Danio rerio: one gene and its partners. The protein of the gene in region 6 interacts with the protein of the main gene of each other region in a pairwise test. Links are inferred from orthologs where the notes say so. Each region holds a gene or a part of one and is shown on either strand. Other genes may lie near its edges. The genes, in order: txn2, syt16, pbx3b, ptpn9a, tbrg4, agtrap and rmdn2.

Region 1 (4,114 bases), on a different chromosome or scaffold from region 6:
CACAGTGGAATGAACCGCCAACTTATCCAGCATATGTTTTACGCAGCGGATGCCCTTACAGCTGCAACCCATCTCTGGGAAACATCCAAACACACTCATTCACATTTACACACTTCAGACATTTTAGCCTACCCAATTCACCTGTACCACATGTCTTTGGACTGTGGGTTTAGCCGCAGCACCCGGAGAAAACCCACGCGAATGCAGGGACCCAGCCGAGGCTCGAACCAGCGACCTTCTTGCTGTGAGGCGACGCAGTGGCGCAGTAGGTAAATAAAATGAGTAGGTAAATAAAATTACTTTGTCATTTTATTTAAATATTCTCTTTACAGCACTGCTGTCAGTACACTGGATGTTTTTACTTTAAATAAATCTGCTTTTTTAATTATTAAATTAAAGTCGGTGATCACTAGATTAAATCTATTTTATTTCATTAGTTTTTAGTTATTTATTTTCTTTATTCCAATAATTGCAGTGAGTTCACCAGAAGCTTTATCTATTTATTTTTATTTATTTATTTATTTATTTATTTATTTTATTATTTCCAATATTACATTTATGCAGTAGATTAATATCTCTTTTAATTAATTTATTTATAATTTTAAACTAAAATCACTCTTCACTAGAGTCAAAGTTTTGAGTCTATTGTATTTTGTATTTTTTTGTCTTTTATTTTATTGTGATTTGTTACAGATTTAATTTAATACCCGTTTCTATTTTATTATTATTATTATTATTATTATTATTATTATTATTATTATTATTATTATTATTATTATTATTATTGCATTTAAAACATCACCGTTTTTCAAGATTTTATCTACAGTCAGATTTTATTTATTTATTTATTATTTTTAATATTACAGTTATGCAGTAGATTATTATCTCTTTTAATTCATTTATTTTTAATTTTAAACTAAAATCACTCTTCACTATAGTCAAAGTTTTGAGTCTATTGTGTTTTGTATTTTTTGTTTTTTATTTTATTGTGATTTGTTACAGATTTAATTTTAATACCCGTTTCTATTTTCATATTATTATTATTATTATTATTATTATTATTATTATTATATTATTATTATTATTGCATTTAAAACATCACCGTTTTTCAAGATTTTATCTAGAGTCAGATGTTATTGATTTATTTATTTATTTATTTATTTATTTATTTATTTATTTATTTATTTATTTATTTATTTTTATTAATTTATCATTGTACAGTTCAATATCAACGTTTCACGCAGACTCTCCGCGCCGCGGCATGTCGCTGCGTCGTAGCAGCTGCTCGTCCACGTGAGCGGAAGTGCGTCACCGGTCCGTGAGACCAGAGGACTCTCGAGCTCACGGTAAGAGTTTATTTAATGTGTCGTAACTGTTGCAAACACACAAAACAACACGAAAACACAAATAATCCGCGTTAATCCATTGCAGCTCACGCGTTTATGCGCGCGCCGGATTTACAGAACACACACGTGAAACAGCAGAAGCTCAAAGTCACGTGGAGGTTAAAAACCACACGGATTTACACAACCACAGATAAAAGATGATGAACACACACATATGAGACGAGTGAACAGGTTATAGAGACTCTGAGTGTGTCAACACACTCAATAAGAGTGAACATCAGCTGCTCTCCTGTCTTATATTCGTGTGAAATGCTGTTGTTGATCCGCTAATGTACTGATCAATGAAGAATCATGAATAGGTATTGATTAGCCATCATATATAACAGGTATAACAAACACTCAACACATCTCTATCTGTCTGTCTATCTCTGTCTGTCTGTCTAATAGAGGTACAGTTGGTTTTATATATTCGCTGATTTTTTATTTATCAGTCTTTATAATGTCTACAATGTTACTTTGAATATTAGATTAGAATTAGCATGCAAGTGTGACTCTAAACAGCATTAACACTATCTAATTCACTGTGAACACTGCTGTACTCATTGGCTGCTAAAATGATTTGCCTATTAGGGCAGAGGTTCTCAAAGTGGGGGTCGGAACCCCCCGAGGGGTCGAGGGACAATGAAGGGGGGTCGCCTGGTGATTTTCAAAAATCAATTAATTTTTATTAAAGCTTAAGACTTACTGTATTTTATCAATAACCTACTGAAGAGAAAAAAAATAGTTGTTTATAGTTACTATATAGACTATATAGTTACTATAGTAGCTTATAGTTACTAGTTCTATTGGATTGCGACTTCTCGGGTAATTACATTGTACTAAAGACACAGCAATATTGTCAGATGCAGCAGATTTTGTAACACCAGGTTAAACTTTCTAGCCCATTTACAGCACTGACATACATAAAAAAAAACAAAGAATAGATTTGGGTCTATTGGTGTGTTTGTGCACGTCATTGCATACAAGGTTTCTGTATTTATAACCACCACCTTAGAGGATATTGGGGGTCACGAGTCACTCGCATTGTCATTTTGGGGGTCGCGGACTGTAAAGTTTGGGAACCCCTGTATTAGGGCTCAACAATAGGCACTGCCCGGGGCCAGCGTGAGAGATGCTCGGGACCGTGGACAGAATCGTTAGTGACCCGATCAGGACAGTGCTGCCTTGTCACTAAATTTTAATAGACGGCAACATAACCGCAACATCAAATTATGAGGCTAATGCCGAGTTCAGGCTGCATGATTCTCAAAGTAGTCGTGTCACAGATGTTTTCACACTGCATGACTATCTGGGCTAGCGTTTCGTCGCTGCTTTGTTTACACTGCAAGATGGATCGGCTACAGGGACTTTCACATTGCATGACTTTACTATAGGAAGAATCGCCGACAACTTCGTCCAAACTACGTCTCACAGCCAAAAACACGTAGTATATCTTTTGTTATTAACTACATAATGAGAAAGAAGCCTTTAATGGGGTAGAACATGTTCATATTTGCTCACCTGGGTTTAAAGGGTATTAGCCATTTCTCCTCAACGTTGCTAATAAACGAATTTCTTTCTGTATGAAACGTCAAACAGACACGGTTGCTCCTGAGTCCTGTCAAAACTCCACTAGTTTTTCCTCCATTTCGTGAGTCCAAATAAACCTAAAAAGAGCGCTTTTAACTTCTCCCCCAGCCTCCCGCTGGCCTGCAGCAGGTACACACACACACACACACACACACAAGTGAAAGCTGCTCTCTCATTGGCTGTAAGCGATCGCTGATGTTATTTTCAGTCAAAACTCAATTCACACGGCATGATTTGAATCGCCGACAGCTCCAGATATTTAGCATGCCAAATATCTCACAGGCATTGACGACTCATCGGCGATTCTCTCAGATCGCGTCTTTGATAGTTCATACTGTGTGATTGACACTCACGTGCACGAGCAGCGATTTGCCTGTGATTTCAGGCATTTGTCGGCGATTTCTCAAAACCTGTCGGCGAGCCAAAATCGGGGCTTAAATCATGCAGTCTGAACTAGGCATAAAAGAAAGCGTGTGCTTCTAATGTTGTGAAAACATTGGCATGGGTACAACACTATGAACAAAATTAAGTTATGTTTTGCTTAGTTTGCCGCCTCTTTTGAGTCAGCCACCTTTTGTTTTGCAATAAAATACCTGCACATTTTCCACACTCTATATTGTACTGCTAAATATTTTAACATTTTTCAAATATTTAAATTCAAAGATAATATTTTGTGACACATTATTTAATATATGTGGCTGAGAAATTGCAATTAACTTTTTTTTTGGTGGGCCAGTGAAAATTTTGGCAGGACTAGTAAAAATCTGAGCCACTGGTCCAATCGGGCCTGTAGGAAAAATCCTTAGCGTTGAACCCTGCCTATTTATAATTTGCCAAGAAGACTTTTCTGAAATTATATTATTAAGGAGAAAGTCTGAATATCCGAATATAAAACCAACTTCACCTATATGTCTATATAGAGGTAAAGTTGGTGTTATATTCGGTTGTTACGTCCTTTTAGATGCTAATATTAAATTAGGAGTAGATGACATAACATACATTAGTTTAATGTGTGTGACAAGCGGATGGAGAAAGAAATAAACTGAAAACCAAATAATCACTGCAATTATTTATTGCCCATACATCCAATGAAACCAGTGAAAATATATTATACAGTGAAAGAAAAATATTTACAATGA
Region 2 (3,500 bases), on a different chromosome or scaffold from region 6:
GTTGTTCTTTCTTACGGGTATTAATCTTAGTCTGTCAGTCACTTCACTCAATGAAGTTGCAGGGTGAATGGAGTTACGTGGCATTTAATCGATCACTGAGTCTTAAATCTCTTCTCAGTCTATGCGTCACCATTAGAGAAAACCACATAGTATTACAAAATTTATTTTTAAATATATAAATTACATACTTTATTATTATTACTAGGGTTTACAGCAGCCATTACTTTAGTATTCAGATTCAGATTTATTAAAGGTCCTTTGATAAATAGAAAGAAAAAGTACATAATTATTTAAAATTTTAAAAAATATATATATATTTTTACTGTATTGTTTATTTAATTTAATGAATCACTTCTGAAAAAAAATTCTTTTAAAAATAAACAAATTATTCTCTCACTACAAAAACATTGTAATCTATATTCGTTGTGCCTGAAAATTCTCAGGTGTCAAAATTTTACATAGCAGATGTAGAACGACATAATGTTAACAGGAGCACTCTGACCAATAAGATGGCAGCTGCACTCATGTATGACTAAAATAAACACATTTTGGTTCACTTTGAAATCTTGAGTCAAACCAAGAAGCAAATGTAACATTAAAAGAAAGTAAGTTCGTCTTAGAGAAAATCAAATGGCCTGGAAAATCATTGAGTGAGCTTCACACAGGTGAGTGGGCTTGACAAACCACCTGTAGTAGACACTCCTTTTCTCTCCATATGTGCCAAACATCTTCTTTTAAACACTAATATGTCTTGAAAAACATTGTGCAATTCTAAGTGTGCTTCACTCGGGTGAGTGGGGTTGACAAACCACCTGTAGGACACACTTTTTTCCATCTCCATCTGCCTAGACACCTTAAAAAAGGCAAATACTTCTTGGAAAACATTGTGCAATTCTGAGTGTGCTCCACACAGGTGAGTGGGCTTGACAAACCACATGTAGTAGACACTAATTTCCTCTCCATATGCCCCAGACACCTTATAAACACCAACTATTTCTTGAAAAACATTGTGCAATAATGAGTGTGCTCCACACAAGTAAGTGGGCTTGATAAACCACCTGTAGTAGACACTGTTTTCACAATATTTCTGAATAAAATGCCAACTTTACTACATCCAATCAACTTGCAGTAGAAAAAAACAAGCCACGCCCACTGTTGCCTCATTTAATATTCAGCTTCTCTAGGAATTGCATCACAATACGAAAAAAAAGTCACAGCTTCCAGTTCATGCAGACTTTGATATACGCATCTGCTAAATGAATAAATGTAAATGTCTGAAACGCCTTAATTGACCTGACTCTCTCTTTCAGATACATTTGGTAAGCTCACTCTGTTGAACTCAATGGGACAGGAGATTTCCCGCTGTAAGACGTCGATCCGTCGCAGCCAGCCCAATCCTGTCTTCAAGGAGACGTTCGTCTTCCAGGTGGCGCTTTTCCAACTGTCTGACGTCACGTTAATGGTCTCCATTTACAATCGGCGGAACATGAAGCGTAAGGAGATGATAGGCTGGGTGGCTCTGGGCCAGAACAGCAGCGGTGAAGAGGAGCTTCTTCACTGGCAGGACATGAAGGAGAGCGGAAACCAACAGGTCTGCCGCTGGCACACGCTGCTGGATGCTTAGAGAGAAATACAATCACTCTTACCTCACTGCATTCAGCTGGATATTCCTTTGGGAGGGAGAAGACGGCCAAGGCCAAAAATACCCAGATAAACCAGAGTGAGCAAGCAACTTTTTACAGCATCAAACAAAGATAAGGCATGTAATTGTGAAAGCACATACAAACACCCACGTGACACTGTCTGAGAGCACTTAATACAGCCTCTTATCAATGATCTCATATCGTGACATACTCTTTAAAACTTCAGCAGCAGCCAATCAAAATGCATTACTGCTCCAGCCACGGTAATTGTCGCCTAGCGAGTTCATGAATGGAGAAATGTCTTTCTTCAGATGATGTTAAGCCTCAAGTTTTAAGACTCACAGCCACACCAAGGCCATGTTTAGTGGAAAATGTGCTCTTTCTTTCATTCATTCTACTGATGACACGAAAGCTGTTACTTTTTATTACATTTCTATTACATTTTACATCCGAATATGCTGCGATTTGTAGTCAAGGACAGTGTTATAATAGAAGTTAGGTTTGGTATATATCGGTATTAAAAAGGGTGCACAATTGATCACCATTCATATCATATTATTAGACTGTACAAAAAAATTGTCTTCCATGATAGCAAAAAAAAAGATGTTGTGTCTCAGTTGCAAGTTTCAATGACACGATTATTACTTCTCATAATATCAAGCTCACAATTTCCTACACTTTTTTGAAATTTGGGACCTCATGAGTTTATATTTGCAAACATTTAGAAAGGAGAATTATGAGAAATATTCCTTTACAAAAATCAGAATTGTGAGAAATATTCCTCAGAAAAAGTCAGAATTATGAGAAATATTTCTCAGAAAAAGTCGGAATTGTAAGAAATATTCCTCCGAAAAAGTCAGAATTGTGAGAAATATTCCTCAAAAAGTCAGAATTGTAAGAAATATTCCTCAGAAAAAGTCAGAATTGTAAAAAATATTCCTCCGAAAAAGTCAGAATTGTGAGAAATATTTCTCAGAAAAAGTCAGAATTGTAAAAAATATTCCTCCGAAAAAGTCAGAATTGTGAGAAATATTCCTCAAAATGTCAGAATTGTAAGAAATATTCCTCAGAAAAAGTCAGAATTGTGAGAAATATTTCTCAGAAAAAGTCAGAATTGTGACAAATATTTCTCAGAAAAAGTCAGAATTGTAAGAAATATTCCTCCGAAAAAGTCAGAATTGTGAGAAATATTCCTTAAAATGTCAGAATTGTAAGAAATAATCCTCAGAAAAAGTCAGAATTATGAGAAATATTTCTCAGAAAAAGTTGGAATTGTAAGAAATATTCCTCCGAAAAAGTCAGAATTGTGAGAAATATTCCTCAAAATGTCAAAATTGTAAGAAATATTCCTCAGAAAAAGTCAGAATTGTGAGAAATATTCCTCAAAAAGTCAGAATTGTAAAAAATATTCCTCCGAAAAAGTCAGAATTGTGAGAAATATTTCTCAAAAAGTCAGAATTGTAAGAAATATTCCTCAGAAAAAGTCAGAATTGTGAAAAATATTTCTCAGAAAAAGTCAGAATTGTGAAAAATATTTCTCAGAAAAAGTCAGAATTGTAAGAAATATTCCTCCGAAAAAGTCAGAATTGTGAGAAATATTCCTTAAAATGTCAGAATTGTAAGAAATATTCCTCAGAAAAAGTCAGAATTGTGAAAAATATTTCTCAGAAAAAGTCAGAATTGTGAGAAATATTTCTCAGAAAAAGTCAGAAGTGTGAGCTTTTGTGAGCTTTTTTTTTAAATGTAAAAGCGTGTTCGGTCTGATCGGGCCCCTAAGTCATTCACTAGCTGAATCTTCTTTTAATCAGCTTCAGATATCTAAACCATTTGAACCATTTGAACCAATTTGAATGGACT
Region 3 (4,228 bases), on a different chromosome or scaffold from region 6:
CCCAATGCCAACATTTTATCATCGGAAGAGTTAAGAAATAAATATTTGATAGAATAATATCATTTAAAAGTAGTCTCTAATTCCCCCATGGCACTTCGTTTGAATACAGTTCTTCTACATGCGCTATTATTTACGACGGACCAAGAACAACACATACTGATGCTTTTGGTGACTGGTGTACTGAACAAAAGACGCGTGTTTTGGGCTATACCTTGAACAACAGTGGTTGGAGTGTGGATGGAATACGGTGTTTTTGTGGCTGTAGCCGGCTGCCTGTGTGTGTGAGAGAGAGAGAGGAGCGCGGCGGACGGAGGAAGAAGCGCACAAATGTTTCGCTGTGTGTTTTTGCTTCGAGCTCACCGAACAGTCTGCTGCCATAGCAACTGGCGAGGAGCGCTGCGCAGCGCCGCCTGCTTGTGCAGTAATGTCACCCTTGGCAACGTCCAATCAGAAGTTGAGATCTCTCTGTACAACCGTAGCAAAGGTATTGAGCTCCGAAGGCGGGCGTTCTCGATCAGCGCGAGTCGCTCATTGGTCACTCCGGCTGCCCGTCAAACGCCGTCTCTTAAGCGATTGGTTCGAGGCGTCTATTTCCAATATTATAAACATGTCCTCTGCTTTCCTGCCCCTGCAAGCACGGCTTGTGGAGGCGACCATACTATGGTGTAAGGAAGCGAGGGGGCCCGTGCAATTCATTATTAGTTTGAATCAGACAATATAAAACTCTGACCTTTTGTTTGTTTTATAATGTAACGGCATCTCAAATGCACGGGCGCGCTTTTAAATGAGGCACGCGTAAAGCGGAGACTTAAACGCTGCTGATTTGATGCTCTGCTCTCATCATTATCATCACCAGCAGTATCATTAGTAGCTAACTGGCATTTTGTTTTCGGGGGCTTCGGCGAGAAGTGACAAGAATCTAAGACCCCTCCTCTGCAGGGCGGAGCGTGCATTTTGATGTCGATTTTGTATCTTTTTTTCTTCTCTGACACGTCCGCACTGAGTGAATGGCATTGGCACATTGTCAATCGCTCACTACCGCTGCCATCAAACAACATAAAGCACACACAGCCCGCGCGCTCGACTCATAAATTTCCGCCAGCAGATATTTTTGCGCATCGCTTTATGGCGCGTGATTAATTTTTTTCGCTAGTTTTTCTATTTTACCTACTGAAAGTGAGAAAACTTTTTTATACGTTTTTGTATATATTTTTTTCTCTACAATCTTTATAGCTCTGGTCGCCGGTGCTGATGGTTTAATTTATTTCACTCGGGTTCTTTTATTTTCTTATGCAGTTTTTTTATTTTTGGAGGAAAAAAAAGAAATCTTTTTAAAAGACAACATTCTGCCAGTTGTCCACACTCAACCTGCGTCTTTTTAATTACACAATCATTAATTTTGATTAATTATCACTTTCCGTCAGAGGCATGGGATGTTTTGTTTGCAACTCTTTGTAATACTACGGATTTGTCCAAGTTTTCCAGAAGTGCACAAGGCGAAATTATCCTAAGAAGACAGCAAATAAGAATTCCAGACATCTGCAAAGGACCCCGGCTCTTCAAAGAGAAAAAAGACAAATTGGCATGAAGATTCGGACAGGATTGAACGGGCAACCGCTGTCACCTGAACGCTGAAGTTTACTTCAATAACAAACAAGAAAGATCATCGCTAATTTTCCTCTAATGGACATTCTTACAGGAGGATCAAAGACGATTTAAATCTTTTCCCGGGACATCAATTCCGCGATCCAGCGATTTATTGTATTTTTCTTCTCTTCTGCGTTGCTTCACGGTCAATATTTTGTGCACGATAGCGACCCGTTAAACGCCGCACATGAAATAATCAAGTTGTTTTTGCATGTGCATTATCCGAGTTTATTTCACCCATCTCAGTGACTGAGCACGAGCGCATTGATTGTGTTGCGGCGGACTATGGACGAGCAAGCCCGGATCATGCAGACTCTCGGCGGTGTCAGCCTGGCTGGTCACTCGGTACAAGGCGGCATGGCTCTGCCGCCTCCACATGGACACGACGGAACCGATGGGGATGGAAGAAAACAAGACATCGGTGACATTCTGCATCAGATCATGACCATCACCGACCAAAGCCTGGACGAGGCGCAAGCAAAGTTGGTGCATTTCTGTAATATAAACGCTTGCATTGTTTTCTTAACAAAGTATTCCATGCTTGCTCATTTGATTCTTTACAATAGCTCATGTTGCTTTCATTTACTTTTTTTTTCACACTAGCTAACTTTTAATTTTCACCCACTGGGTCACTATAGTAAACCTAAAAGGTCAAGTTTGCATCTGAAATCCATTTGACAGGTTGAAATCACGTTTCAGTGTCACAAGATCTATCCTAAATCAGAACATTAGCTGCTAAAGTTGTGCATTTTAATGTAAATGATACACAGGTGAAGTGCTCAACACATGTGAGCATCTCATTAAAAGTTTCTACATCTCACTTTTCTGTTTCTGAGCCGAAGAGGCCCTGATACTTTTACAGCCACTAGCCACATACTATAAATCTTTTACTTCTTTGTAAATTAATTTACATATTTAGCACTAATTAATTATACTCTTTGTTGTGAACTTTGTCTGTGTTTATTTCTAACAAACCAATGCAGTTTAAAGATACATTCCAACAGAAGACTTGATGCCTTATGAAGTTTTAATGCGACACAATTATGAGTTTTAAGTGACTATATATCAATCTCGTCTCTTGCTCCCAAATGGCACAGGAAACATGGGCTCAACTGTCACAGAATGAAGCCAGCCCTCTTCAGTGTGCTCTGCGAGATCAAAGAGAAAACAGGTAAGATAATGCATACCCTTACAAATGAAGCTAAATTAGACATGTCAAGAAGAAAAAAGCAACAGAACAGTGTCACTAATCCTTCAGACACCGCCATCTTTATTGGTGTTTTTTTTTTATTTGGTCGTCAGCGGAGTCCAGTTGTATCAAGCCACATCCAGCATCCACATTTCTCTGCTTCTCACTTGTGAAAATGAATAGTCATAATTGGATTTATCATTGCAAAATATACAACGATGATCCTTCCCCCCCTTCTGCGTTGCATCACAAGGCTGAACCGAGTGCCTTCTTCTGGGGCATGAATGAGAGAGAGGCACCCCGGCAGTTCCCTTGTTTACAGCGCGCTATTCTCACACCATTCATTTAATCAAGCAAGACCCACACTTGGGGAATTGCTCGACAATTATGCATCTTCGGGATATTCTGCATCTGCCACTGAGGATATGCTTTGTGCGGTGTTGGTTTAATATTAAGCTTGTTTTGTTTAACTGCACGCCCTGAGAGCGTTTGCGCGTGTTCGTGGTTCGGAGAGAGAGCGGTCCAATTCCTGCGCTCCTCTGGCTAATTATGCGACCAATTTACTGGATAATTATTGGCAGTATCGGCGGTCCTGCAGTTAATTATTGCCCCCATTTTATTCCGAAAGACGCCAGCGCTGTGAAGGTTACATCGTTCACCGACACGTGCAAAGATGCTTGGCTTTATTGTGTCATTGTTGATTTTTTTCCTTTTCTTTTGTGTGCTAAAACGCACTTGTTATGATCAGGAGGGATCGATAAGTTATTTATTATTAGTTTGATGCAACCAAAGTTGTAAAAATATTTAGATGACAAATTTTGGCTGGGAATGCCCTCATTGTTATACAAGAATTCTGGTTATCTTGTAATAAAACTAATATTAAATTTTAGACATGGTTATATTTATGTTTAGATTTTTTTCATTATTTATTAAGGAGCCTGGAAAGTGTAAATAACTGGAAGTTGCCACTTCTTTGGCACTTAACAATATTGTTATTTAATTATTAACATCTAATAATATTTTTGTACTGTGGCCTATGACCTATCTGACCACTGACCTAGATCTTGAAGTGTAAAAATAGTTTTAATATTTAAATTTCAACATTTGAATTCAGCAATGCATTGAGTGGCAACTGACTGACTCCATTCAAGGACCTTATATTAAGAATTGTATCTTGGCAGAAGTACAGGCGCACATTATTCTGCATAATGTTTACTTTCTTGTGCATTGCTCCTTCTTGTTGGATTAGAATTATTTTATTTCAGTTGATATACGCATGTCTGTATCAAACACAAAATATTTCACTCTTTCTGACACTCGAGCACCTCTGAAACAGTCTGTCGAGCGCGCACTGTAGATGAAGTCCAATGACAGATACAACATCAATTCAGC
Region 4 (3,500 bases), on a different chromosome or scaffold from region 6:
CAAAAGCAGAAACTCCTCTGATTTATTCTGAAACACAACAAGATCACTGGAGCATCTTCAAGACACTTCGTAATAGGAGTGTGCAATACTTATCGTTTTGGAGTGCGTCACTCACTTAGCAAAAGCAAACAAACAAACAAAAACATGTCTTTAGAGCAATGACTGTACGATGAAGCCTATTAGCCTTTTAGACTATAATTCAAGAAAGCAAGAAAAAAAAAGCTTATATATTCACTAAATATGACAAGATGAGTGATATCACACTAACAAGAGTGTCGTTTTCCTGAATATTAGCATGCGATAATTTCAAGAAACAAGGCATTAGCCGGTTTTAAAATTAATCTTTAAAATAAAAAACGAATCTAAAATGCGAATTAAGAGGATATATATCTGGTTTTAGAGTGGCTGACTGTAGTATTGGTAACCTAGCAACCAGCAGTAAACAAGGCAAGCATAATGGATTCACATGGGTGTAAAGTTTAAAACATCAGTTTTTTCGTCAAATGTGTTTACATATCACATTAAACTCTCTGTTGCACAAGTCCAAGACCACCTCAAGCGGAGTCGTTGTTTGGTTGTTGTAAATTAAGGATTTTGTTTTTGAAACTTGCCGTTTCAATCACTCGTTTCTAATCCGTAGGTCCACACAGAATCTACGTGCATAAAAATATGCATATTTCCGCAGATTTTTCAGCCCATCGTTTAGCCTTGTTTATTTATTTAATGGGACTAAAGTTGTTCATTCAGTTTGTCTATGAATTTTAGTAATATTGACAAACATGCAAATGTTTATATTCTTTATTTTCACTACAGTTTGTAAAGTACTATTTTCTGTGTTTTAGTAAACATATTATGAGAATATTATATGTATCAGGGGTTCTCAACTGGCTTGGCCATGGGACCCACATTTTTACATGGTCATCAAGCCGTGACCCAAATTTTTAGGAACTATAATATAAATTTAGGATTTATAATTAATTTGCATTTATTTGTTGACATACACAAGTAGTGACAGATAAATCATAAGAAAATTACCAATACTTACAAATAAACAGTATTTTATTGCTGTCATAACAAAATGTATCAAATTATAGAAATGTTACAGAGTAAAAACGACAAATATTGTAAACAGTGGTTAGGGTAAGGAAAGGTTCAGTTACCATGAACTAAACTGAACTGTTAATTAAACATATTGTTGTCTGGTTTCTAAATGTCGTTTTAGTTTAGAAGGTTTCATGCTCTCTTGTGGGAGCACCTCACTACATATGGCACACTAAGGCTTAAAGTCTTTTTTTGTCAATATATGTAAATCCATACTTTACATTGTGCATATTTATTGCTATAATTAAATGAAATTTCACATGTCAAACGGTAGGGTTGTCGCGCTCGCATTTCAAAATAAAAGTCCGGTATAAGCAAAATAAATTAAAAATTAAACTTTTTTTTTTTTTTTGACCACACACAGTGGGTCGCGACCCACCAGTTGAGAAACACCGATATATATTATATGACAAACTTGCTTCGTTTGCCAAGTGGATCTAATTGGATTTGAATTATAAACCTTAAATAATAAATTTCTGTCTGACCCTGCTCATGCAATGGAAACCAGCTGTTTAGAAAGCATTTTAGACTAAATAAATGTAATAAATTCTAAAAACAGGACATTTGTGCAGTGTTTCGTTCCATATATAAATCTGTTATTATTAAAATCAAGAGAACTGATGATTCAATTATCTGTTCATAAGCCACTTGTTTTGTTTCAAAATGAATCAACCATTTAAAACAATTCTTTTGAATGAACGAGTCAACAAATCAATCCCTCAGACAAGACACGGTCGCCACCTACTGGTGGTTTCAGTGTTTGTTTTTGACCAACGACAGGCCTAAACCAGCACAAAAAAACACACCCAGTAAAATCTCCATTAATCAAATAATGCCCCAGAATTCTTCACATAGAAACTCACCTTGAGCAAATTAAGGATCTTTTTGCTGAGGTCCAGCTCAAAGTTAGTGTAGTTGGATCCAGCCATGTCATAGATGAAGACCAGTCCATTTCTCTGAGTCTCAAAGCTAAAGAAACAACATTTATTTTGACCAGAAATCTAATCACAAAACTCTAAACTTCTTAACAGTCACGTCTGATCAATTTTATGGGACATTTTCGAGGTATTTAACTGAATTGAACTGAAATTTAAATGCTTTACCTTTCCACAGCTCGGTCCAGCAGGTAAAAAAGGGCCTGAAGAACCACATGGTTTCCGGTTTTGCTGGGATGGTGCAGTTTAGCCGTATAGAGGGCGATGGAGGCTCCTGACGGGTCCCGGACACCCTGATATCAGAAAACATCGCAATATGTCAGTAACGAGGAGCCATTCATATTCGTAAAGTCACTCAGCTCTTTGGAATATTAGAATAATGCATATTCTTTACTGAATAAAGCTACATTTACATTCTAAATGCAACATTCTGCAAATTATAAATTAAAATTAAATTTAAAAATTTAAATATTCAATAAAATTCAAAAATATAATTACAAAAACATTATGATAAAATTGTTTATGCATGCATAAACAAATGAATAAAAATAAATGGTCTTTGAATGATCTCACAAATAAATGCAGTAGTTGTATATTTCTTAATCCAACAAATTCTGCAAATCTGAAATAAAATAAATGTAATAATAATTATAATAATGCAAGATATATTTTTATATATAAATAGTAAATACATTAAAATAAATTCTAAAACAATGTGAATATGCATACATAAATGGATATTATATATATATATATATATATATATATATATATATATATATATATATATATATATATATATATATATATATATATATATATATATATATATATATATATATATATATTATGAATAATATATTATAATTAATATTAAATAAAAACTTCACGGATAAGTTTGTTGATCAAGTACGAGTAAGGTGCAGTTCTAGAGGTGTCCACAGAGGGGCAGAAAAAGTCTTCACTGAACATCAATGAGTCACTGAACCATCAGCTCAGAAACATTATATTTACATCTGCCATCCAGGAAGACACTAAATCTGCTTTATTTGCTCTCAGCTGCCCCATTTCCGTATGTGTGAGCACACGCTTTACATCTATTAAATATTTACGCCAATAACGAACAGCAATACTCTGATGACTCATGAGATGTGCGTCTCTCTCTGGGTTATAAATACAGACGGATAGAAGAGGAGACGGGAAGATGAGGAGGATCGATGAACATATTGGATAAAACCACCGCCTTCACTTTAGCTGGCAGAACTCAAATATTTAATTTCATTTATATGAATTTAAATGAAGTAAATTGGCTAGTAAATGCATATCTATCCATCCATCCATCTATCTATCTATCTATCTATCTATCTATCTATCTATCTATCTATCTATCTATCTATCTATCTATCTATCTATCTATCTATCTATCTATCTATCTATCTATCTATCTATCTATCTATCTATCTA
Region 5 (4,255 bases), on a different chromosome or scaffold from region 6:
TACAAAAAAATCCAAAATCCAAAAACACAGCAACCCAAGTATCTCAGCTGCAAAAAGCCACGCAACCAAAAGTCATTTTTAGAAGAGAAGCAGGCATTTTAAAGCTACATGGCTAAAAACACTTTGGAGGACACAAAAAAGTTAGGCTTTCCTACATTATTGAAATATACAGAAGCCAAACCTACAGTATTCGGAGAGAAAGAGAGAATCCAGAATATTTCACTGGGTTCTTGAATTTACATAGTTGTCATTTATTGGCAGGGATTTTGCTAATTGCCAATGAGCATGTAACTAAGAATGACTGAAAATAATTAATTTAAAAAAACTCAAATCTAATGTTTACAAAGTGTTTTGTGAATCCGGAGGTTTTGGAGAAGGCCTGTCTGTATTGGGAATAAACTATTCTGAATTTACTCTTATAATTATGAATTTTTTATGATTTATGTCAGTATCTCTAATTTATCTAAAGCAGTTCTTCTGCTTACCTGAGTGTTTAAAGTGTCCTGCATGCTCTTGCAGCGAGGATCCAGCAAGACTCCTTTGCTTCCTTTCTCCACGACCCGCAGGTTTAGCTGTATCAGACACCTGGCGGCCTCACTGCCCGTTCCACCATGCTGATCCCACAACTGAAGCACTTCGTCTGGGGTGGATGCTTTTTCCACAAGTTTGATCAGTTTTGTACGTTCATATGGAACTGTTCCCTCATCTATCTTGGCCAGTTCATTGCCCTGACAGAGATGCCGAACAGAAGGTCGGATCCAAGACAGAGTCATCAAGCACAGAGGCTCTGTATGGTGGACAGTGGAGGTCTGCAGGCGGGCAGAGGCTGTGGCAGTCCGAGGGCTGCGAGGAAACCATCGTGCCCATCTGCACAGCAGCCTGGTGGTCATTTTCAAAAGGAGACTTTCTGGATTCAACACCAATCAAAGCATTTGCACCCACATCTTCAGCTGAGCTGTGCACCTAAAAATCAATCAGGAAGAATGTATAGTACATTAAAAGAAAGTCTCAGATGAACAAAAACAAGGCCAGCTAAGAGAAAAATAACAGCAGTCATGTTATAATAATGATGCTTATATAACATGTATGTTACTGGTCAAAAGTTTGGAACTCTATCTTAAGATTTTTGTATGTGTTTGAAATAAAACAAACAAATAAAATGATAAAAACAGCAATATTGTGAAAAATACTATTTAAATTTAAAAACATTCATTAAAATCACAATGTCACAGTAGGGCTGGTGATTAATCAAAAAGCTTTATTTGTTACTGTTGTGTTACCTTGCACTATATTGATGATAACTGGAAGCTGCACCAGAGATTCCTTGAGATGGCATATTTTCCATTACATCAAAATTATTATTTACATTCATATATTTGTTTACAGAAGATGCAAGAAATGCACTGTTTAAAATATTATTTACAGTAGAGGGATTTTATTTTTATATTTTAAGATATACTGCTTATTTTCTATGTTTAATATGAAAAACACAGATTTGTTTTGTTTTGTTTTGAAAAGTTCAAGTAATTTATTTTCACTTATTTATAAGAAAAAAACTGTTGGTTTGAGGCAACTTGTTTTAATTTCAGCTGTTCAACATTTAAGTTCAATAAATAATCATAGATGTTAGATAGTGTTTCCTTAATTTATTTTAAAATCAAGTAAGGCACCCTTCATTCAAAAATCTCTCACTTGTAAAATGTGAGCACATTTACTTTACAAAACTTATCAGTGAACTGAACTATGGGGGCAAAAAAAAGTCATATTCTTTCATTAATCGTAATCAAGTTAAAATGTTCAATTAATCAAGATCTTAATTTTAGGCCAAATTGATTGAGGTAAAGTTGGTTTTATATTTGCACATTTGTTCAGTGACAACATGTGACATGCTCTCTACATTGTTTACTTTGAATATTCGTTCAGAAATTAAATTAAATTAAATTAAATTCGCCTTTATTTGTATAGCGCTATTACAATGTAGATTGTGTCCAATCACAAGTAGATATGTGAAAAATGTTGTACTTTGATAGTCATTGGCTCCTAATATGATTTCACTAATTAGAATTTGCTGACATATACTTTTCTGAAATTATATTAGCAAGGAGAAAGTCTGAATGTTTGAATATAAAACCAACTTTACCTCAATGCCAAACCGAATTATATTTTTAATACATTTTAATTCATTCACAGAAAACAGTTACATGAACTGTAAGAATCATTTCTATTACTGTTGTATTTTTTTTATCAAATAAATCGAGACTTGGTGAAATAAAGATTTCTTTCAAAAACATCAGATCTTAATGTTTCCCATCTTCTGACTGGTAACGTTAGTGTTCTTGGCCTTTTGTGTTTGTGTAATATAAACAATTCTATTATTCTGTATATTTCTATAATTGGTAGTAGTATAATAATTAATATTAATAACAGATTTATTTTTAAAACAGATCATTACTAGTATTAAACTTTAACACTTTCTAAATATACTACTTGCAAACATCTTACAAAGATCTGTCAGATATCTGCGTTTTCTAGCAGTCTGTCATGGGAAGAAGTCTATTCTGACCTTGCCGTTTTGGGCAGGCGCTGCAATAAGCTTATGAAACGGTGCTCGTTATCAACATACAATTTGAGAAACAGAGCAACCGCTGAAGCTATCCGATAAATACGTGTCATGGTAAATGCACAGGACTGCACTGTCGCTAAGGATAAAGTAATTACTGCTTGCTTACCTCGTCAAATAAGGTTTTATAAGTGGATCGACGACATTCACATGGAGGAACGATCAGTAGGAGTCGCGGAGGTTTTGCGTCAGGGAGCCGGCAACATGTGATTTACACAACGCGTCGTGATTGGTGGCCATTGGGGGGGAAAAAAAGAGGAAGGAAGAGTTGTTTTATCAACTCAACGAAGGACATAAAGGCAAGCAAAGCAGTGCACACAACATATGTTCACAACATATTGTTAAATATCAATTATACATTTCACACTGGTAGTGTTTTTTTGTGATTTGTTACACTGCATATTAGGTAATTAGGGAATTCATTATTTCATTATTCAAAATGTAAGAAATAAATAAGGATTTGTGATGGTCAAAAACAAGTTATCTGAGAAATTCCTGGAATATCAAGTGAATTAATTAATTCATTGCAAAGATATAGAAAGTCAGAAGTCAGTCGGTAACTGTAGACTGCAGAAGTCAGTCCCATGTATGCTTCAAAGAGTTAAAGGGAAAAAAAAAAAAAAAAAAAAAAAAAAAAAAAAATATATATATATATATATATATATATATATATATATATTTGTAAGAACAGTCAATGTGATGTCACTGCAATTCTTTCAAAAATGGGTCTTGCATGTCACATGAAGTCTTTTAGGTACAAATCAACCTGCCGTTAAACTTTACTTTTACTTGTATCATTATTTAAACACTCTTACCTTTGCACAGTCTTTTAGTTTTAAAGAAAAGATTTGTTATTACTAAAAATTTGCACTTAAATCTAAAGAATATATCTTGAACCTTTTCTTTTTGTTTGGATGTTTTTTTTATAACTAAACAAAAATGCATGGCTTCAATTCCTACTTTTTGACATTTTCTGACTGAAGTTGAGTCCCTGCTCAAATCTTTCCGTATGTGTAACAACAAAAAATGTGTCCGATTTTTGGTATGAAAAACTTTTGTCTAATGACTATGATTTGTCTATGATTTGATTTCTATGATAGCTTTTCTGTAATGCTCTTAATTTAATAAATGTCATACACTTTTATACAATTCTAGTTTACTTACCTTTTTTGCTTTGTTAGTCTTTTTTTTTACTCTGCAGTTAATGTAACTTGCGTTTTCCCTCTCCCATATCTATCTTTTCAAGAGTTCACACTAAGCCAATGATTGATTATAACGCATGTTTGGCATGGGTTGTTTGACAGAGTGTCTGAAGAAAGAGCGAGGAGGGATGCAGTGTGGAGGTGTGAAGAGGGATGTTTGAGGACGTGCAATTTCCGGAAAATTATCACTTGTTTGCAGGCATCAGGGCCGGATTAACCAATGGGCATTATGGGCACAGGCCCAGGGGCCCGTGTGCACTTGGGGCCCCTGCAGGGGGGGAAAATGCTGATTTTGAAGTGTCTATTTAGGCTAAGCGCAAATAGTGCACCTTGTTGGAATAAGCTGGTTAAGCGAATCACGCCCATAACCGTTTGATTAACAGAGACAACATAACTACAGAGCGCAAGAGATAGCAGTGAGAGTGGTGTAGTG
Region 6 (3,500 bases):
TCTGTCTTGTCATTTCATGGAGTTCTGTATTTGGTTTAGACATGATTTGTTTGGTTTGAACTCAGTTTGTTTTCTTTGTTTAGTTTATTGAATTTTCAATTGATTTAATTATTTAATTCATTTGTTTTTTAATTTGAAACTTTTTTTTTGACTTTATAAAAAATAATTGTTTTGGCAATCTTCTTTTTGTATGCCCCTTACTATATGTGCTGGCTCGGTCCCTTACAACATGGTAGACTTAAAAAATTAAAATCAGATTATTGGTGTCCATGTAAACGTACTCGTTGTGTGCAAACAATAAATAGTTTGGGGTTAATGGTATGATGACAACAGGTCAATGTTATGCTAGTTCTGTTTAGAGTTTTGAAAATGTAACTACAGATTGGAAAAAGCAACATTAGCAATTAAAAGAAAAAGTGTAAGAGAAATTTGACTGAAACCTACTCTGCAGTGGCTGAAGAAGAAATAATCAAAATGGTAGACTTTCGTTTGCTGAGGAACATGAGGTGTGAACAGGCGAGAACTGGTCCAAAGTTCAATTTAGTGATGAAATCATGTTTCATTTTATTTGGGTCAGTAAATAAATATTTTCAAGAATGTTTGTCATTAAATTGAAGAAAACTGAAACCTACATATATAAAAAAGTTGGTGAAATGTGGATGAGGAAGTGTCACGGTTTGGGAAATTTTCTTCTGCAGCAAGACCAATATATTTAATCATAGCAGTGTGAGATACTATTAAAGTTCTTTGTACGCATCTGTGCTGGTCATTCAAAGCAAGAGCCTGCATACTTCCTGCTGCTTTCAGATATGCTGCAAACTCAAATGTTAGTTGTTATCTTTCTCCATGCTTTCTCTATTGCTGTTCTATAATCTCCATCACTGTGTTTTCCACAAAACTTTTTATATGTGCCTTTTGGCTATTTTCCAAAACACTGGTCTACTATGATATCCACACAGCTAAACTTTTGAACTATGAAGATTGGATGATTTCTCAAAAAACAAAAACTTTATTTTATTTTTTATATAGGCCTATACTATTAAAAAACCACAATCAAACCAACTATGATCAAGGATCATAAAGATCTAACAGTAAAGAGTCAGTGAAAACAGGCCTAATTCCTTTAGACCCAATGCTGTTCTTAAAATTATAGTCAGGCTGTTATTTCTGGGGGCCACTCTGTCAGGCATGTGTCTTGTGACCGGTTCTAAAATTCAATTACCCGCTCCTATTTTTTTAAATACTTATTTTTCTTTCCATATTCAGTGAAGTACTGCTCAGAACTATATAATTGAAATAGGCTCAATAATGTTTTGGACCCTGAGCAAACAATGGTGGTATTTTATCCCTACTGAAATACTTTTCCATGCATCACAAACCACTATGGACCAAAATGAATCAGTCACCAATTATTCTTTCTTCCTCAGGCCTTCGGTTACTCACCAAAATTGACATTGTATTCACCCCCTCGCTCACGGTACATTTGGTAGACAAAGAAGCAGGAGACAGGTTTGAGCAAGAGGCTCAGGATGGCCATGCCTCCACTAAAGCGGAACAGGTCCCGTGTGGATCTCTCGTATAGGAGTTCAGCTGCTGCATAGTAGATCCCAAAATGAACAATATCAGTCAAGATTGTCACTGCCAGTCCGATCAAGAACTTCATGGAAGAGAGCAAAGACCAAACATTAGTATAGCAAATATATTACACACACACATGCACACACACTAAAACATTTAACCTCGACTTGAAGATATATACAGTAACAGTAGTCATCAACTTTTTAACCTTACACTGAATGTTTCCTGGAATTTCTTGCTACAGTATACATGCTATTCCAGCTGTTCTTTTCCTTAGAGCATTGTGCTTAGCTAAAAAGGGCTAAGCACCATGCATTAAAGAAATGCATTGAGGAAATATACTCACGGGCCACTTTATTAGGTACACATTACTAGTACTGGGTTGAACCCCATTTGAATATAATGAATTCATTGTCATGTTCAAGCAACCAGTCTGAGATGATTCACGATTTATGACATGGTGCGTTATCCTGCTGGAAGTAGCCATTAGAAGATAGGTACAAAATGGGTACCCTGTGGTCATAAAGGGATAGACATGATTAGCAATGATACTCAGGTAAGTTGTGGCGTTGACACCACGCTCAATTGGTACTAACGGGCCCAAAGTTTGGCAAGGAAACATCCCCCACACCATTACACCACTACCACCAGCTTAAACCATTGATACAAGGCAGAATGAATTCATGCTTTCATGTTGTTGACACCAAATTCTGACCTTACCAACCGAATGTTACAGCGGAAACTGAGGCTCGTCAGACCAGACAACGTTTTTCCAATCTTCTATTGTTAAATTTTTGTGAGCTTGTGCGAATTGTAGCCTCAGTTTTCTGTTCTTAGCTGACAGAAGTGGCACCTGGTGTGTTCTATTGCTGCTGCAGCCCATCCGCCTCAAGATTCAACGTATTGTGCATTCAGAAATTCTCTTGCATACCTTGTTTGTAACGAGTGGTTATTTGAGTTACTGTTGTCTTTCTATTAGCTCAAACTAACCTGGTAATTCTTCTCTGACCTCTTGCATCAACAAGGGATTTGCACCCACAGAACTGCCACTCACTGGATATGTTCTCTTTTTAAGAGCATTCTCTGTAAACCTTACAAACAGTTGAGCATGAAAATCCCAGTAGATCAGCCGTTTCTGAAATACTCAGACCAGCCCGTCTGGCACCAACAACTATGCCACATTCAAAGTCACTTAAATCATCTTTCTTCCCCATTCTGATGCTCAGTTTGAACTGCAGGAAATCGTCTTGACCATGTCTACATGCCTAAATGCATTGAGTTGCTGCCATGTGATTGGCTGATTAGAAATTTGTGCTAACATGAAGTTGGAAAGGTGTACCTAATAAAGTGGCCGGTGAGTGAATAGTCAAAAGTCTAGTTATGGATTTTTCATCGGTCGTTAATAAAGAACAAATCAATTGCCTAAAAAGCCTTCATGCATGAAAAAACCCACCTACCAATAAAACAGCATCTATGGAGTCTCTCTGTGCTATGGCCCACACTCCCACTGCAAGAACACTGAAGTTCCCCAACACATAAGAAGCTGGGAGCCAGGAAAGTAAGCATGCCCTGTGTAAGCACATATTCAAACTGTTAAAAAAAACATTGTACTAACATAGCACTCTCCTTTAACTCAATTTGGTTTATTTTTTTGTAAAAAAATATTGTGTTTAAAAAGTACACCAATAAATGGCTTCTGTTTAAAACAAACAAACTTATTTATACATTTTCCTGTTGTCAAGATTAAAGTTCCAGAAATGCACAACTATGCAAAATTACCTGACCTCAGACCAATTGAGGTGACATTAAGAATGCAGTTTCTAAAACAAAACCCAAAATTTATAGGAACTGCGGGATGTAGTTTGTTTAATATACTGTATAATGGCTAAAATAAAAACAAAACCGAACTGTTTCTGTGTGCC
Region 7 (4,045 bases), on a different chromosome or scaffold from region 6:
TTGGAAAAATATCTAGTTAAATATTATTTAGTCATCATGGCAAAGATCAAATAAATCAGTTATTAAAAATGAGTTATTAAAACTATTGTGTTTAGATAATCTTCTTACCATTAAACAGAAATTGGGGAAAAAATAAACAAGCGATCTAATAATTCAGGGGGGCTATTCTGACTTCAACTGTATATATATAGTAAATGAGTGTGCAAAGATGTTAAAAGCCAATCAGAGCAGCAGAAACCGCACAGATATCACAGTTCAAGGTTGATCAGATACTTGTGTTTATAGACTAGAGAGAAACACAGCAAAACGCTGAGCTCCACAGCAGTGAAGGCCACCATTCTGCTTCAGTACTGTAAGTTTTACAAACTTTAAACAAAGCTTTAATGGTTAGGCAATATTTTTAATTCTTGCTTTTATGAAAATGCATTAAGGTCTATGCTTAAGATTTTTTTATGCAAATATTTTGTTCTAATTATTTAAATTCATGACAAGTAAAATGATTATAATTCGACAGTTCCTGCATGTGTTTTGGTGTTCATTTGCTAATGTTGTTGTAAAGTGGTGTGTATGTGAACGGTGCAAATGTAGAGCAAAATTTGACTCTGTTAATGAATGATTTTGATGAACTTTGAGTCTGTGCTTCTCCTGTTATTAGCAGGCCATTATTATTGCCCTTTGATCTGCAATTTTCTCTAGTTAACATGTTATGTGTAACATATTCATAACAGCGTAGCAATGTTTCACAATGATGGTCCCTTTAGAAATGTGATTTTGTAGAAAAACAATGCTTGGAATTACTGTATAGACCATTTCAGTGTGTTCATGTCATTGGCCCATGGACATGCCATAACTGAAACAAGAGGCAACTTAATGTTAAACTTAATGTTAAAACAGCTGTCATAACATTATTTAACAATATGTGGCTCTTTTTGGCTTCCCAGAAGCTATAGAAATAAAAAATGTAAAACAGGAAATATGCTGGGACTATTGTTTTTGTTTACATCCATCAAAAGGCTCTAAATGGAGAATCAAAAAAGACAGAAGCATTAACTTACTAACATACCAAGGCATGTAAAACTGAATAAAACAAAAGCTGCTTTTTGAGAGTGAACATTTGAAATACCACTCTTTTAATTTTCGTCTATCTATCAAACGTCGTTCATTGTTATTCCAAGTTATTTTTAAACCTAAGTGTTTACGTAGTGTTTTTTTATTATTTAGTCGGAACCTTCAGTTTTGGGCTTTGGAGCGACACGGACTGTTTTTGCTGACGCACCGCTGCGCTGGGGAGGACGTTTTAAACAGGTAAACTCTGCTGCTTTTCATGATTAAATTGCTGTTTTGTAATGTATGTTTCGTGTTTTTGCTGATGTGGGCCGCTACAATGTTGTTAGAAGGCTATTTTCTCCGTGACGTCTACATAGGCAGAGCGTTATTGTGAATATTAAGACCTTGGCTGCTGATTAACATCTAATACCACTTACGATCCGTGCTGTTTAAAATGCAGATTTATTCATTTTTCTCAATTTTAAAACTCGTTTTTCACGGCGAATAGAGATCCTAATCCACAATAATTATGGCTTTCATCATTACTGCTCATGTTTATTGTTCAAACGCCTGGGGAAATTTTCTTATGTAACTTATTTCTTATTTGTGTAAAATTACGAGTTCTTGTTGATATACAACGCTTTGCACACCGTATACGCTGGAGTTTATGGACGTGTTTCCGTGAAAGGATGAATTAGACTTGAGTTCAGACACTTCAAAGAGGATTAATTAGCTTAGGCTAATTCGCTTTCTGGTCACTGACTGGCAGCTAACTAATAGAGGTAAAGTTGGTTTTATGATCGCACATTCAGTCTATCTCATTAATAATAAAATCTCAGAATAGTATAAATGGGAAATTCTAAATAGCAAAATCATATTAGCAGCCAACAACCATCAAAGTACAACATTGATCACAGTCAGTTAAATAGTGCCAGTGTTGTTTTGAAGTCATACTTACATTTGATTTCAGTCTGAATATTCAAAATACCATGGTAAACAATATATGGAGCTGTCACCGAACAAATGTGCAAATATAAAACCAACTTTACCTCAGTCTAGCAGCTTAAATAAGACAATTCCATGCAATTGTCAACCTTGCCATGAAAAACATTTCACCAAAATTTCTAAATCGTTTCTAATTTTTTGGTTAGCAATTATTTTAAAGTACAAAAATGTCTCTGTCAATGTTTCCAACTATTATATTTGATTTACCAAAAGTGACACAAGTGGCAATTTTACATCCGTAACAACACCTTTTTTCTCATAAATGCAAAAATATATATTAAAACTTTTATCCTTTTGATTATCACTATTTCTTTTGGGTTTTGCAGTTTAATTCACAGAATTTCTACAAAGTATGGTGTGTACTGTAAACTCAAAGACTTTTTTGGTCACATCCATAAAGCATCTTTATTTTCCTCATTTATATAGAAAACATATACATAACATCTATATCCATGTATTGTATACAATACATAAGCTTTAAATAAATAACAATATATTTAAATACATCAACAAAAATAAAACAAAAAAACAAAAATGGTATGTGTGATAGCAATGGAAAGACACAAGGACTAAACTACTGAAATGTATTTAACACTATAAAAGGCTTATTTTGGTGATGGTAGCTTAAAGTCGCCTCTCAAATGGAGAATGAAGACACATGAATTGCTCAGGTGTGAGTTTTTCCACAGACTTTAACAGAGTGTAAAATTCTTTATGGTTCTGTGGGTCTCGTCTATCAAATCTGATCTATATTTAGCATTTTCAATTGTATTCAATCAAGTGATTGGCTGGGCCATTCTACAGCTTGATTTTTTTTTCTCTGAAAGCATTTGAGAGTTTCCTCGGCTGTGTTTTGGATCATTGTCTTCTTCATCCTGCTAATGTGGATGTTGGACTGAAGCAGTGAATATTCATTTACAATGATGAAGGACAGTTGCTGAAGAACTACTGAGATATTTTAGTTGCTCTTTGGGGTTTCACTGCCCTTTTACACCTCCCTGTCTTCATGTGTTCAATGCTTTTTTCCCTGTGTCATTTCATTTTATTACAAAACCTAATATGTAAACTACTTAGATTTGTTTTCTTTTCAAATATGGATTTTTTTGGTTATCAACATTTGGTTACAGCACCTTTGGCAATATGACTTCTGAGAAAAATAGTGACATGTTCAATACTTATGTCCCCCACTTTAAACAAATAATATGTGAAATAAATAAGAATTTGAATGATAAAACAGTATAAAACTCAATTCATTTAACATGAAATGTATTCATATAAAATAAGTATGAATATTACTAAAGGGTACCAACATTTTTTTTTATATATTTATTCCTTTATTTAGGTTGTTTGACTGCTAAATTATAGCCAGAGAAGTTTTTGATCATTTCAAATCCCGGTAACAAGATCTATCACAATATAGTATCATTTCTGTAAATTAAATGAATTAATTGTTTATTGAGACCTGTAAAGGACACTTTCTTTTAGCATTTTTAAAGTTTATACCCAAAAACTCATTCATGTGTGATCATATTTTTCACTTTGTTTAGAACTTCATGGCAAATGTTTAATTAAAAACACAGAAATGTAATAAAATATAAAACTTTTCAAAAACTAAAGATGTCACAAAAAAAAAGCAAATTACTTTTAAGATTACTTTCTCACGATTACAAGATAACTTTCTCTTTCTCACGATGCGGTTATTAATGTTTTTAATCAGCATCCTCGTAGTAGCCTGAAATTATGAAAAAAAATACATAAAAAAATAATATATATATATATATATATATATATATATATATATATATATATATATATATATATATATATATATATATATATATATATATATATATATATATATATATATATATACAGTTGAAGTCAGAATTATTAGCGCCCCTGTTTATTTTTTTCACCAATTTCTGTTTAATGGAGGGAAGATTGTTTCATCACATTTCTAAGCATAATAGTTTAAAAAACTTATTTCTAATAA

The links.
Region 1: the proteins of agtrap (region 6) and txn2 interact in binary tests that used the Homo sapiens proteins (3 or more experiments, as listed by UniProt). The two-hybrid records come from large-scale screens. The link is inferred for Danio rerio from reciprocal best matches to the Homo sapiens genes AGTRAP and TXN2.
Region 2: the proteins of agtrap (region 6) and syt16 interact in binary tests that used the Homo sapiens proteins (3 or more experiments, as listed by UniProt). The link is inferred for Danio rerio from reciprocal best matches to the Homo sapiens genes AGTRAP and SYT16.
Region 3: the proteins of agtrap (region 6) and pbx3b interact in a two-hybrid assay, tested with the Homo sapiens proteins (4 studies listed by BioGRID). The two-hybrid records come from large-scale screens. The link is inferred for Danio rerio from reciprocal best matches to the Homo sapiens genes AGTRAP and PBX3.
Region 4: the proteins of agtrap (region 6) and ptpn9a interact in binary tests that used the Homo sapiens proteins (3 or more experiments, as listed by UniProt). The two-hybrid records come from large-scale screens. The link is inferred for Danio rerio from reciprocal best matches to the Homo sapiens genes AGTRAP and PTPN9.
Region 5: the proteins of agtrap (region 6) and tbrg4 interact in binary tests that used the Homo sapiens proteins (3 or more experiments, as listed by UniProt). The two-hybrid records come from large-scale screens. The link is inferred for Danio rerio from reciprocal best matches to the Homo sapiens genes AGTRAP and TBRG4.
Region 7: the proteins of agtrap (region 6) and rmdn2 interact in binary tests that used the Homo sapiens proteins (3 or more experiments, as listed by UniProt). The two-hybrid records come from large-scale screens. The link is inferred for Danio rerio from reciprocal best matches to the Homo sapiens genes AGTRAP and RMDN2.

What each region holds. Positions count from the first base shown.
Region 1 is NC_133178.1:3,509,176-3,513,289, reverse strand, and holds the start of txn2 (thioredoxin, mitochondrial), read left to right. Parts: upstream 1-1,314; 5' UTR 1,315-1,346; intron 1,347-4,114.
Region 2 is NC_133188.1:41,011,165-41,014,664, reverse strand, and holds part of syt16 (synaptotagmin-16), read left to right. Parts: intron 1-1,310; coding exon 1,311-1,624; 3' UTR 1,625-3,500. UniProt on the Homo sapiens protein: May be involved in the trafficking and exocytosis of secretory vesicles in non-neuronal tissues. Is Ca(2+)-independent.
Region 3 is NC_133183.1:36,175,571-36,179,798, reverse strand, and holds the start of pbx3b (pre-B-cell leukemia transcription factor 3b), read left to right. Parts: upstream 1-1,428; 5' UTR 1,429-1,932; coding exon 1,933-2,129; exon of another isoform or gene 2,130-2,133; intron 2,134-2,744; coding exon 2,745-2,818; intron 2,819-2,855; exon of another isoform or gene 2,856-4,228. UniProt on the Homo sapiens protein: Transcriptional activator that binds the sequence 5'-ATCAATCAA-3'.
Region 4 is NC_133200.1:7,141,151-7,144,650, forward strand, and holds part of ptpn9a (tyrosine-protein phosphatase non-receptor type 9), read right to left. Parts: intron 2,330-3,500; coding exon 2,205-2,329; intron 2,071-2,204; coding exon 1,965-2,070; intron 1-1,964. UniProt on the Homo sapiens protein: Protein-tyrosine phosphatase that could participate in the transfer of hydrophobic ligands or in functions of the Golgi apparatus.
Region 5 is NC_133191.1:30,798,411-30,802,665, forward strand, and holds the start of tbrg4 (FAST kinase domain-containing protein 4), read right to left. Parts: upstream 2,801-4,255; 5' UTR 2,730-2,800; intron 964-2,729; 5' UTR 891-963; coding exon 486-890; intron 1-485. UniProt on the Homo sapiens protein: Plays a role in processing of mitochondrial RNA precursors and in stabilization of a subset of mature mitochondrial RNA species, such as MT-CO1, MT-CO2, MT-CYB, MT-CO3, MT-ND3, MT-ND5 and MT-ATP8/6. May play a role in cell cycle progression.
Region 6 is NC_133186.1:18,172,259-18,175,758, reverse strand, and holds part of agtrap (type-1 angiotensin II receptor-associated protein), read right to left. Parts: intron 3,148-3,500; coding exon 3,036-3,147; intron 1,658-3,035; coding exon 1,444-1,657; intron 1-1,443. UniProt on the Homo sapiens protein: Appears to be a negative regulator of type-1 angiotensin II receptor-mediated signaling by regulating receptor internalization as well as mechanism of receptor desensitization such as phosphorylation.
Region 7 is NC_133188.1:45,624,558-45,628,602, reverse strand, and holds the start of rmdn2 (regulator of microtubule dynamics protein 2), read left to right. Parts: upstream 1-1,245; 5' UTR 1,246-1,305; intron 1,306-4,045.